Arabidopsis thaliana: one gene and its partner. The protein of the gene in region 2 interacts with the protein of the main gene of each other region in a pairwise test. Each region holds a gene or a part of one and is shown on either strand. Other genes may lie near its edges.

Evidence for each region.
Region 1: the proteins of ROXY1 (region 2) and TGA10 interact in a two-hybrid assay, tested with the Arabidopsis thaliana proteins (one study listed by BioGRID).

Annotation. Positions count from the first base shown.
Region 1 is NC_003076.8:2,118,419-2,126,576, forward strand, and holds TGA10 (bZIP transcription factor family protein), read left to right. Parts: upstream 1-2,053; 5' UTR 2,054-2,492; coding exon 2,493-2,566; intron 2,567-2,650; coding exon 2,651-2,772; intron 2,773-3,143; coding exon 3,144-3,235; intron 3,236-3,441; coding exon 3,442-3,570; intron 3,571-3,694; coding exon 3,695-3,760; intron 3,761-3,868; coding exon 3,869-3,928; intron 3,929-4,015; coding exon 4,016-4,093; intron 4,094-4,184; coding exon 4,185-4,266; intron 4,267-4,356; coding exon of another isoform or gene 4,357-4,359; coding exon 4,360-4,631; intron 4,632-5,775; coding exon 5,776-6,030; intron 6,031-7,646; coding exon 7,647-7,799; 3' UTR 7,800-8,039; downstream 8,040-8,158. Other genes in the region: AT5G06830 (uncharacterized protein), read right to left, coding at 44-179, 271-365, 438-532, 802-936, 1,081-1,141. UniProt on the Arabidopsis thaliana protein: Together with TGA9, basic leucine-zipper transcription factor required for anther development, probably via the activation of SPL expression in anthers and via the regulation of genes with functions in early and middle tapetal development.
Region 2 is NC_003074.8:331,719-335,200, forward strand, and holds ROXY1 (Thioredoxin superfamily protein), read right to left. Parts: upstream 1,355-3,482; 5' UTR 1,205-1,354; coding exon 794-1,204; 3' UTR 557-793; downstream 1-556. Other genes in the region: ACR6 (ACT domain repeat 6), read left to right, coding at 22-348. UniProt on the Arabidopsis thaliana protein: Has a glutathione-disulfide oxidoreductase activity in the presence of NADPH and glutathione reductase. Reduces low molecular weight disulfides and proteins.

The DNA of each region.
Region 1 (8,158 bases), on a different chromosome or scaffold from region 2:
TAAAAAACATATAGATGAAAATCAACCAAGTTTACAAGTAAACCTGCAATCCAAGCTCTCGGCAAGCATCCTCGTATTTTGTTGCTGAGAGTGCAACGCTCCTTTTGATATCAGCTTCTTTACGATCAAGTTCTGTCATTTGTTGCTGAACCTTTTGCACTTGCTTTTTCAGATAAGGGCTTCATGTTTTGCAAAAAGAAAACATATTAGGGAGATCAGAAATGCCAAAGTAGAGAGACTATAGGTAAAATCAAGTAGAAGCCAACTTACATTTCGTAATTAACATTCTGAATTATTATCTGAGCTGCCTCCCCAAGATAAATGTGATCTTTTTCAAACGCACGAACAATTGCTTCCCAAACACCCTAAAAGAGCATTATACAGCTGAGACAATGAACACAAACAAAAGTGCGAAACAGAGAGACAGTTTTCCTTACAGAAGCACCCGAAAGTCGACCAAAGATGTTGCGGCTTTCCGGAGTTGTCTTCAGGAGAATCTCATACACCTTTTTGACCTCCAAGTAACCGATCACTGGAAGCAAAACAACATTAAACTTGAATGAGAATACAACCAAGTAAGGCCCTCCTCCTAATCAATCATCAGACATAACCAAACAACAAACAAGCTTACGGTGTTCACAAAGATGCCAATAAAATCTCTTTGGCATTTTCAAACAAAATACTAACACTTTAAGTTATAAATGAGAGCAGTGAACCAAAACGCAATTTAAGACGAATTCGTTTTGAAGGTTTGAAAATTCGCCAAACTGATAAAAGAACAAAATTTGAAGAATTTAAAACCTTCAGGATCTAGGGTTTGAAAGAATGGATCGATCTCTTTAGGCAAAGAAGAGAACTCTTTTAAGATTTTGACTCTGATCACAGCAACCCTCTTCCTCCAATCCGCCGGAATTCTCTTCCGATCCACCAACCATTCTTCAAATTCAACAAAATTGAAATCAAATGAAGACAATAATCACCAACGCAGATTCGAATCCAACGAAGAAAACGAAAAAAAAAAACCAAAGAGATATAAAAATTTAAAATTCCGTGTACTCGTAATTGATAGTTCTGCATTACCTCCGAGACGAGAGAAGGTGATATCGATTGGAAGATTTTGAACATCATCTTGTGACGGCATTTTCTTCCGGTTAACCTTTCACGCTTTCTGGGAAATTTTATCTCCGAAGTCTCACACAGTTTAACGTTTTGGAGTCTCAAGAGTTTGCTACAGAAGAACGCATAATTTCATTGGTCTCATCAAATATCTCGAATCCGGTTATTGAACTAACCGAACCAATTTACTCCGGTCCGCGGCAGATTAAATTGTTTATTGGTTTTATATGGGTTGGTTGGATGGTCCATTACCGCGGTTAACATAAACTGGTCTATCTAGTAACGTCGGTTTTACCTTTACGGATTAGTCTACAGATTTTAAACTTTTTTTTCTTTACAAGTTAAAACTATTTTGAGGAAATTATTTGTATGAATATTTTGTGAATGATGGGAAAGAAATCAAAATTAGTTTACCAGCTCAATTTGATCAAACCAATTAGCTTAACAAAAACAAAACCTAGACCATATTAGTGCCCATTCAAACAAAGTACAATGGAACAGTTAGAGATACAAACAAAATTCAATCAATATATTTGACAATCTAAGTTCATAAATCACATAATAATGACTTTTAACTTGTTTCATATAATGTCTAGTGTTTATAGATTGAATGTAAGAGCGGTTAATGGATCATTAAAAATCGAATAAAAAATCTTATAATAATAATATAGATGATGGAATTGAAAAGTATATCTTAAAGTAAAAATCTAATAGCTGAATAATATATATAGGAGAAATATAATAATAATAATTTAGAGAACAAACAAAAAATATTTATACAAGTTTGTTATCAGCAATGTGACTAGAGAGAAGGAAGAAGAAGAGAGAGGGGATGGAAAAGGACATGTTCTTGACCGCTTTATCAGAATATTTTTCTTGGTTTCATACAAAAATAAAAACAAAGTCGTCTTCTAATATTTTAAGGTAGAAGAAACTTATACAACAAAAATATCAGAAAATAAAAAGGAGTTTGTCTTTAGGTTCTTCTCTCCAATCTCTATTTTTCTCTCCAATATCCTTCTTAAGTTTTTGAACCCTCTCCACTTCAATATAACCGACCTCTCTTCTCTCTTCTGAAAAAAACACCAAAGGAGCTTTAAATGCTCCGTTACATAATCTCTATCTCTTTCCAAGAATATAGAGAAAGGAAAATAATATACAAGAATTAAAAGAAGGTATATCATCATCTCTCTAGCTAGTGATCAAAGCACCGTCATCATCATCATATATCATCAGCTTGCCTCAGAGGAGAAGACCAACATAAGAGAGATCGAAGATCAAAATCTATCTCTCTTCATCATCTTCTGCTGTTACTATCATATCACACGCTCTCTCAAACATCATCCTATATATAGACTTCTCTTCATCATCATCAAATGCAAGGTCATCACCAGAATCATCATCAACACTTATCATCATCCTCCGCCACGTCTTCCCATGGAAACTTCATGTAATTTTTACTCACTTAATAACTTTTTGAATTGATTGATGATCCCCATGTTTTTAATAAGAGAGCTTTAATTTATGTGTGCAGGAACAAAGATGGGTATGATATTGGAGAGATAGACCCATCACTCTTCCTCTATCTTGATGGACAAGGACATCATGATCCTCCATCAACTGCTCCTTCTCCTTTACATCATCATCACACAACTCGTATGCACTCTCTCTCTCTCTCTTTTCTTTCTTTTTTGGGAATTGGGGTTTGTTTTTTTGGTTTCAGCAGATAAGGAAGATTCCCTTTAGGTGTGTGAGAGAGAGAGAGAGTCACAGCAAAAGCATGCCAAACAGATTTCAATCTTTCTTCTGCCATCAGTACTCTATTCTTTCAGCTTTGACCAGATCCTCTCTCTTTTCAGACACCAAATCTTTCAAATCCATATATCTTACACTTCTTTAAACCCTTTTCTCTCTCTGTCCTTTTTCTTCTAATTAGAAGAACTAGTCCGCTCACATATTTATATACATGACTTGTTATAACTAGACCATTTCTCATACATATGGTCACATGACTCATCTTATGGCAGAGAATTTGGCGATGAGACCTCCAACATCGACGCTCAACATCTTTCCATCTCAGCCTATGCACATAGAGCCACCTCCTTCTTCTACACACAATGTAATAATTATTACTATTACTTTATAAATTTCTATATATATATGCCAATTTTAGTTGGTTTCTGTTTCTAATTTAATATAATGTCAGCGCAACTACTAGCCATTTCATATAATATCAAGTCAGACCAATTATTATACGTTTCTTATTTTTCTATTGAGTAGTGATTTGATTGTTTTTTGGTTGTTTTATATAATGTGTTTGGTAAGACCGATAATACAAGATTAGTTCCGGCTGCTCAACCTAGTGGTTCCACTCGACCAGCTTCTGACCCGTCCATGGACTTGACCAATCATTCTCAGTTTCATCAACCTCCTCAAGGTTCTAAATCCATCAAGGTCTCTATCCATTTATGTTTTTTTAATCATTTAATTGCTTTGTCGAACTATAACTCGAGTATAGATATAGACTTGTTGTGGTTGTTTTTAGAAGTTAATGGGTCATATCTAAATGTTATGGCAGAAGGAAGGGAACCGCAAGGGTCTTGCCTCATCGGACCATGACATACCTAAATCGTCAGACCCTAAAGTGAGTGTATATTCATACAACTGCAGAAAATTAATAAGATTCTTTTTTTTTTTTTTTTTTTTACTTTTCGGTTTTTGATAGTTTCTTTATTAATTTAATTCTCAACAGACATTGAGAAGACTAGCACAAAACAGAGAAGCAGCAAGAAAAAGCAGATTACGTAAAAAGGTCAGCATTCAATATTTGTAAGTTGCAAATATAGTTTTTATATCCAAATTTATTTATAACGTTATTTGCTTTGGTAAATTACGACAGGCTTATGTTCAGCAACTCGAGTCATGTAGGATCAAACTGACCCAACTAGAACAAGAGATTCAACGGGCCAGATCCCAAGTAAATATTTGAACCTGTCTTTTCATATATATTGTATTTAACCTAAAGTCTAAAATGTACCAATTTAATTTGATTTCCTATATATGTTTAGGGCGTATTCTTTGGAGGGTCTCTTATAGGAGGAGATCAACAGCAAGGTGGACTACCCATTGGCCCTGGCAACATCAGCTCTGGTACGTTAATAGTTTCATAAATGTGATGACTCAAAAACCGTAAAATTTGAAAACCGAGAGAATGAGATATTGAGTAAATGCAATGTGAAGCAGAAGCAGCGGTGTTCGATATGGAATATGCGAGGTGGCTGGAGGAGCAGCAGAGGCTATTAAACGAACTAAGGGTGGCAACACAAGAACACTTGTCCGAGAACGAGCTTAGGATGTTTGTGGACACATGTTTAGCTCATTATGACCATTTGATTAACCTCAAGGCTATGGTCGCTAAGACCGATGTCTTCCACCTCATTTCTGGAGCATGGAAAACTCCAGCTGAACGTTGCTTCTTGTGGATGGGTGGTTTCCGTCCATCGGAGATCATTAAGGTACATCTCGTCTTTTCTTATAGCCATATACATATATTTAGGTTTTTCGAGAGATATTTACTTATTCTATTCGAGCCACATCCCACACAATAATTAGTCATGATGATATTGTAAACTAATCAAATATGGATTAATAAATCTAAATTTTGGAATTTTACTTGAAGACTAATCATTTTAAATTTTATCTTAGAACCTAAAATATTCCAGGATACAATCATTAATACCATCAATTTTGTGGATTACTTGCAGAACATATACTAATAATGACTGAAATTGTGACATTGTTATTATTTATATCGTACATATATGTCCACAGAATATAGTACTTCCAACTTTATTTTATTATTTAGATTTTTTTTTTTAATTTAGTCTTTGATTCTCGTAAAAGAGGTACGATATAGTAATAATAGATAAGACAGACAAGAGATAGACTATATAGTGATATTGTTGGACGAGGTATATATATACATAACATTGCATGGGGTGACTCTAGATGTATAAAACCAACATATATACGTGAATGTCTTTATATTACGACAATAATAAAGGTACACGTAAAATTATTTTGAAAACAAATTAAGAATGCATGCAATTGTGTGTGATGGTGAAGTATCTCTAGAAATAGGTAGGTTTTGGCATAATGCAAAAGAAAGTGCCTGTCTGTTTTTTCGATTTATGGGATCCATAGGAGAGAGAGATAGACATAAACCACCATGGAATTCAACAGAGACGACCATAATAAACAAACCAAAAATAAATAATTGTTTAACATTTTTAGCACGCTCGTCAATTGGATGATTATCATTTTTTTTCTTTTCTAAAATGGTTACGTAAAGCCATTTTAATTAAACCTACTTTTTATTCTAAACAATATGAGTACCTACGATAGCCGATTAATAATACAAATTAATATATGGATGGTGTGCATATCTGACAAGACCTTTGGCAATGTCTCAATCTTATATCCTTTTTAGTGAAAATAAAAAGGAAAGAAGAGATTTTGGGTGTAGCTAGTAACTCGTGCAGAGTACATACACTACACACTTTAATGCATTCAACGTTCTTTATGCATCCATTAAGACCATTGTTAATTAATCCTCGATATCTCAACTTGTGTGTATTAATTAGAAACGCATGCATGCAGGTGATTGTGAACCAGATAGAACCATTGACGGAGCAACAGATAGTTGGGATATGTGGGCTGCAACAGTCCACACAAGAGGCCGAGGAGGCTCTCTCGCAAGGCCTCGAGGCGTTGAATCAATCACTTTCCGATAGCATTGTCTCTGACTCCCTCCCGCCTGCCTCCGCACCACTTCCTCCTCATCTATCCAATTTCATGTCACACATGTCCTTAGCTCTCAACAAGCTCTCTGCTCTCGAGGGCTTCGTTCTCCAGGTACCCTTATAACTCTTTCTTTTTAAGTTTATGTGCAATTATATATCAATATACCAATCTTTTATCTTTATATAAAAATATACCTATAGAGTTGATATACAAGTGGACCCCTAGAGGATATATGTGGTCCTAATCAGACTAGGAATACATATTCTGTTTCTTTGAACTACTCCTTATTAAACTCAACTATCATATACTTATATATTTCTATATTTGGCTGTTATAACACGCTATCTAAATTTATATAGATGTTTGTATATATGTGTGTGTCTGTTTTGTGTACAACTCATATATAGGTATAACGTCGGCCATAATTTGTTAGAGGACATTTGTAATATATTAAGTGTATATAGAATAAAAGTGGTTGATTTTAAAGAAGATGTCAAAACTAATTCGCAAACTTAATAATTATGCATTAACATGTATATGTATATGAAATGGAAAGTATTTGCCTCTTGATTCGGACATTATGCAAGTAGGTATCTAACAAACACTTCTCTTGTCTTATATCAACTTGGTCGGGTTGCTTTTCTTAGACGACCAAGTTTATTAATTTAATATTTATTTCTTAATCATTTACTAGTTTAGGACAGGCAAGTTTTTGAAACAAAGAAATATATATATCTGCTTGTGTATATTAATGTATAAGTCTATACTCTATATGCAAATGGACATTTCGGCTAATTAATTCTATACAAGATACATGCATATACAAGTTGGCATCTTTCAATGATTTCTTAATATAATTAGTTCTAAATTGTTCCTGTTCCGCCTATAAAAAAAGTTTTTGTGTTTCGCTACACGGTTAGTCGCTCACAATTTGGAGAAAGATCCAACTTTAAAATAGGTGGTAAATGTGGGGTTAGTTACTAAAAAGGGGTAATGAATTCAATTTTCTCTAAACGCACGTGACAATTGGCACCATGAAAGTATGTATTAAGTATACATATTCCAATATATGTAGTCCAAAAGAAAAATACATATATTATGTATCTATAATATATCACATCAAATAAAAACATGGAATGCTTGGAGCCCATATCGTTGCATGATGTCATGGACGTAACTGCCCAAGTATCCCATCCTCCGAAAACACTTCCTTGAGAATAATTCCTTTACTTACATTTGATTCTGCATTTTTTTGTCTACTTTTATATCATTGATAATAGGTTGATTATATATGTATGATTCTAATTAATGATCAAAAGTATCATGAAGCATGGCGTGGGACCGAGGGTATGGAATTCACGGTTTCACCTTTTTGACATGTTGGTGTCGTGTTCTTATTAGTGAATTACTAACAAGCTTTGATTTTTTGATCGATCAACATGTTGAATAATCGGCATTAGTCGTCAATCAACCACATAATTTCGGGTCATGCACAATCATTATAATGCTTAATTAGTCCTTTATCTGTTTTTTTCCTCTCTAGTTAGTCTTTAATACTTATATTTATGAGATTAATGATGGTCCAATTCGATTATTTGTCCTTAATTGGTCTTAGTCAATAACATGTGCACTACTTTGTCCATCTTTTGTTTTGCTTTTACTATTTCTCCATTTTCCCTATAACTCTTATTTAGTTTTGAACTAGCTAATACATTAGAAACTTACAGGCGGATAATTTGAGGCACCAAACGATCCATAGGCTGAACCAATTGTTGACGACCCGTCAAGAAGCACGGTGTCTTCTAGCCGTTGCGGAGTACTTCCACCGTCTTCAAGCTCTAAGTTCTCTCTGGCTAGCCCGTCCTCGGCAAGATGGATAATACTAAAACAACTGATGAAGGAAACCAAAAACAAAAACAAGAGAATAGGTTGATTAGTTAGCCGCCAGCTTGACCTCTTTATCATATATATCGTCTCTCTACTCAAATACAGTGCAATTAGGGAAAATTGTTTGGCTTCTTTTTGTTATATGATTCTTACTATTATGTTTTTAATCAAGATGCAGATTATATATATAGACAAGTATTCCATACCTTTTAATGAATTCTTCCTTATGCAAATTCAAGTGAAAAATTATACTTGATCTTCAATTCCAAACACAAGAACATGAGAGAGTATTGAAAGGAAACAAAAATAGAAGGCTGGCAACAATTGCAGTTGCATGCAAGACTTATCACTT
Region 2 (3,482 bases):
GCATATGAAACATACTTTCAGGGTTTAGAGCTGGAATTATCAGCAGAAGACCGAGTTGGTCTTCTCTCAGACATAACCAGAACATTCCGAGAGAACAGCTTAACCATTGTGAGAGCAGAGATATCAACGCGAGAGGGTAAGGCTAAAGACACGTTCTACGTTACAGACGTGACTGGAAACCCGGTTGAATCAAAAATCGTGGAGTCAATCAGACAACAGATAGGAGTAAGCAAGCTGAAGGTGAAGAAGAAGGAGAAGGAGCATTGCTCTGTTCTTGGTACAAGCAGGCCTTCGCACGAAACAACTACAATGGGGTATTTGCTAAGTAACATCTTCAAACCCAAGTAGCTTCAAGCTTCACCTATCTCACTCATAGTCATAGAGTGTGTGTGTGCTTTGTATAGGTTAGACAGAGTAGGGCATCATTTAAGCTGATCGTAGCGATCCCCTCTCAACAAGTCCCTTGTGTGTAAATTTGTGTGAACAAAATAACAGGAACTGCCTTTGAATAGATACGGCGTCAGTTAATACCGTTGATTAATGGATCCAGGGGACATTAATAAAGATGCAAAGTGTTTACTATTATGATTTAATGAGAGCATTCGAAAGATCAATAAGAGATGAAGAAGAGGAAGACAGAGAAAGGTGAGCTTAAAACAACTCTCTCTCTAATTACAAACTATAATCTAAAACCTGTCATTACAGCCATTGACTAGTTTCCTAATCTTCCTCCACCACATTCTCTTACAAGAAAACTTCAAATAGAAAAGAAAAAAGAAAGCAGAGGAAGGGATCAGAGCCAGAGAGCGCCGGCGTCTTTGAGAAGAGGAACGAGAGAGCCGTTTATGTGAGAAGCCATGACTCTGTCCATAGCTCCAACCAGTTTACCGCCGATGAAGACGACCGGGAGAGACCCTGGAGAAGAGGAGCCGGAGCAGCCGAGGAGACGAATGAGGGCTCGCTGGATGTCGCCGCCGTAGGGGTGGAGGTCGAGCTCGTGGACGGCGGGGCTGACGCCCATTCCTCTGAAGAGACCCTTCACGGCGTGGCACATGCAGCACGTGCTCACGCTGAAGATCACCACCGCGCTCTCAGAAGCCAGGGACTCTATACGAAGCAGACCAGTGTCAGCCACCATCCCCAAACCGCCGAATCCTAAGCTGCTCATCTTGTATGATCCCCACGATTCTGTCTGGTATTGCATCTTTGATATCTCTTCTCTTTCTCTTGTTACACTTTTGTTTGGAAAGAAACTAGATTAAACACGAATAAGAGAGAAAGAGGGATTGGCTAAAGTTTGTTGGTGAGAAGAGAGTGAGAGCCATGCAGAGTATTTATAGAGGCCTACTACACCTCTGAGTCTAACTCTGTTTTCCTCTAATTATTAGTATTATTGTTTCTTTCTTTATTATTTGTGTATAATAACATGACCTCTATTTACTTCTCCATGAAAAAAAGAAAAAAAGTAACAAAACATATGAATTAAAACCGATGACATCAAGATAGTGATTGCTGTTGAAAACAAACACCGATAATAGTTATCGGAATAATTTCATTTTTTTGTAAAAAAAAAAAAAAAGGCAAGGAGAGTTGAAGAACAGGCTTTTATCAGAAGGGAGTTGTTGGTAATAGACGGCTCCGTCTGTCCTTCTTGTCGGCTCTTACCGCTCTCACCATTAATTTTCTTACCACTTAATTCTCTCTTTTTCTTTCTTTGTATTTTCAGATACATGATCATAAAGTAAGAAACCATAATTTCCACGTAGATAAGCTCCCTCAATCTGTACAATATGGATTTTGGCAGGGTTTTTCTTTTATTCCATTCTACTCTGTAAAATATATAATTCCATACGACCGAGTAATCATCAATCCAGCAAATGTGTAATCATCACATCATAATTTGTTAAGGAGTCAGAATCTTATGTTTCTTATCCAGATTAATAGCATCCTCCTTATATATATAGAAAAAGAATTATGACTCGAGAATTATGATGTGTACATATTTTATAAGAACAGCACCCATGAATTAATTTGGATGGGTTTAATTATAACAATATTAAAATTTGAACAATTTTATATAGAAAAAGCCTTTTTTTTTTTTCTTCAAAGTTTACAAAGTTTGTAGTTTGTGACATGCTTTTGGCTTCCACGCTTGTGTCCTTTATACACGAAATGCCTTTTTTGTGTGTCTCAGGTTTGAGCTCCACAATAAATTAAATCTTAAAATGAGATTTAAAACGAAGGATTGATGGAAGAGAAGATTTTATATGTATATTGAATATAGTAAGAGAAGTCCGTACAGTTATGCTCCCTCTAGCTGAAAAAGAAAGTTACTTCTTTTAGTGTTTAAACTCATGTATTTCTTTTCTGGAAAAAAATCTTTGCATGAGAAATCGTAAAAGATAAATAATCTTGTCGGATTGTGGTTGTCGGATCGCTTTACCTTTGATTTTTGATTTTTTTTTTAAAAATCTAGTTTTCCTGACAGAAGACTTACGTAACACTTGTCATACAATGTTTGATCTGTTCAACCGATTCTCCGATATTAACCCTTTCGAGTAGCGTATGTACATGCTTTTCAATAAGGGTATTTTGAACATTTCTGAAGTTCGTATTCAACGCCTGAAACTTGAAACTTTGAACATTCCTTATTCCTTTGTATATTGATCTAGCTCTTTTCTGTTTTTGGCTTTTTTTTTTATTCTTCAAAGTTTAAATATGTATATACAAGGCTAACATTATACAAAACTTTAAAAATCTTTCGTTTTATGATTATCAATAAAAAGATGATTTTCTTCTTGTAAAAAAAAACATTTTAGAGAGAAAAAGAAAAAAAAAAAAGAGATTTTGATCGATCGGACGGGTAGGGTTAGATGGCAGGAAACGAGAGCCCTCTGGCCTATATTAATTAGTACAACAAAATATATAAATTGATATCAAAATAAAAAATAGAAAGAATACGAGCGTGATGCTATCTTTTCAGCTTTATCTGGTCTTTGCCATTTATAAATATCTGTGTGTATGTCTCTCTTTGCACAATATTAATGTTGTGCTTTGTTATAAATATATCTTCATTTCATATTTTTATATTTTCAAATTTCGTTTTTTTTTTACCTCTTACGGTGAAACAAAGCCGATAGGGAGATGAAAGGTGGGGTTTGAACTAAACCCTAAAATAAGCTTTAGAGAGTTCTATCGTCGAAGTATAATGGTCCGAGTCTGATTCCAACACCTGACCAAGATATGTCCCTACGGGTTATAAAACAATGTATATATTATATATATACAAACAGCTGGCTCATATATATCTGTAATACACTGATACAGAGGAAGGTACATATCTGTGCCTATGTATGCGCGTGGTGTAGCTGTATATGCTATGGAACATGTATATATGTTATAATGTATATTGAATTTCCAAAAAGCTTTAGTTAGTAAAAAAATAAATGGAAAACGTAAAAACAAAAAAGAAGGCAAAAGAA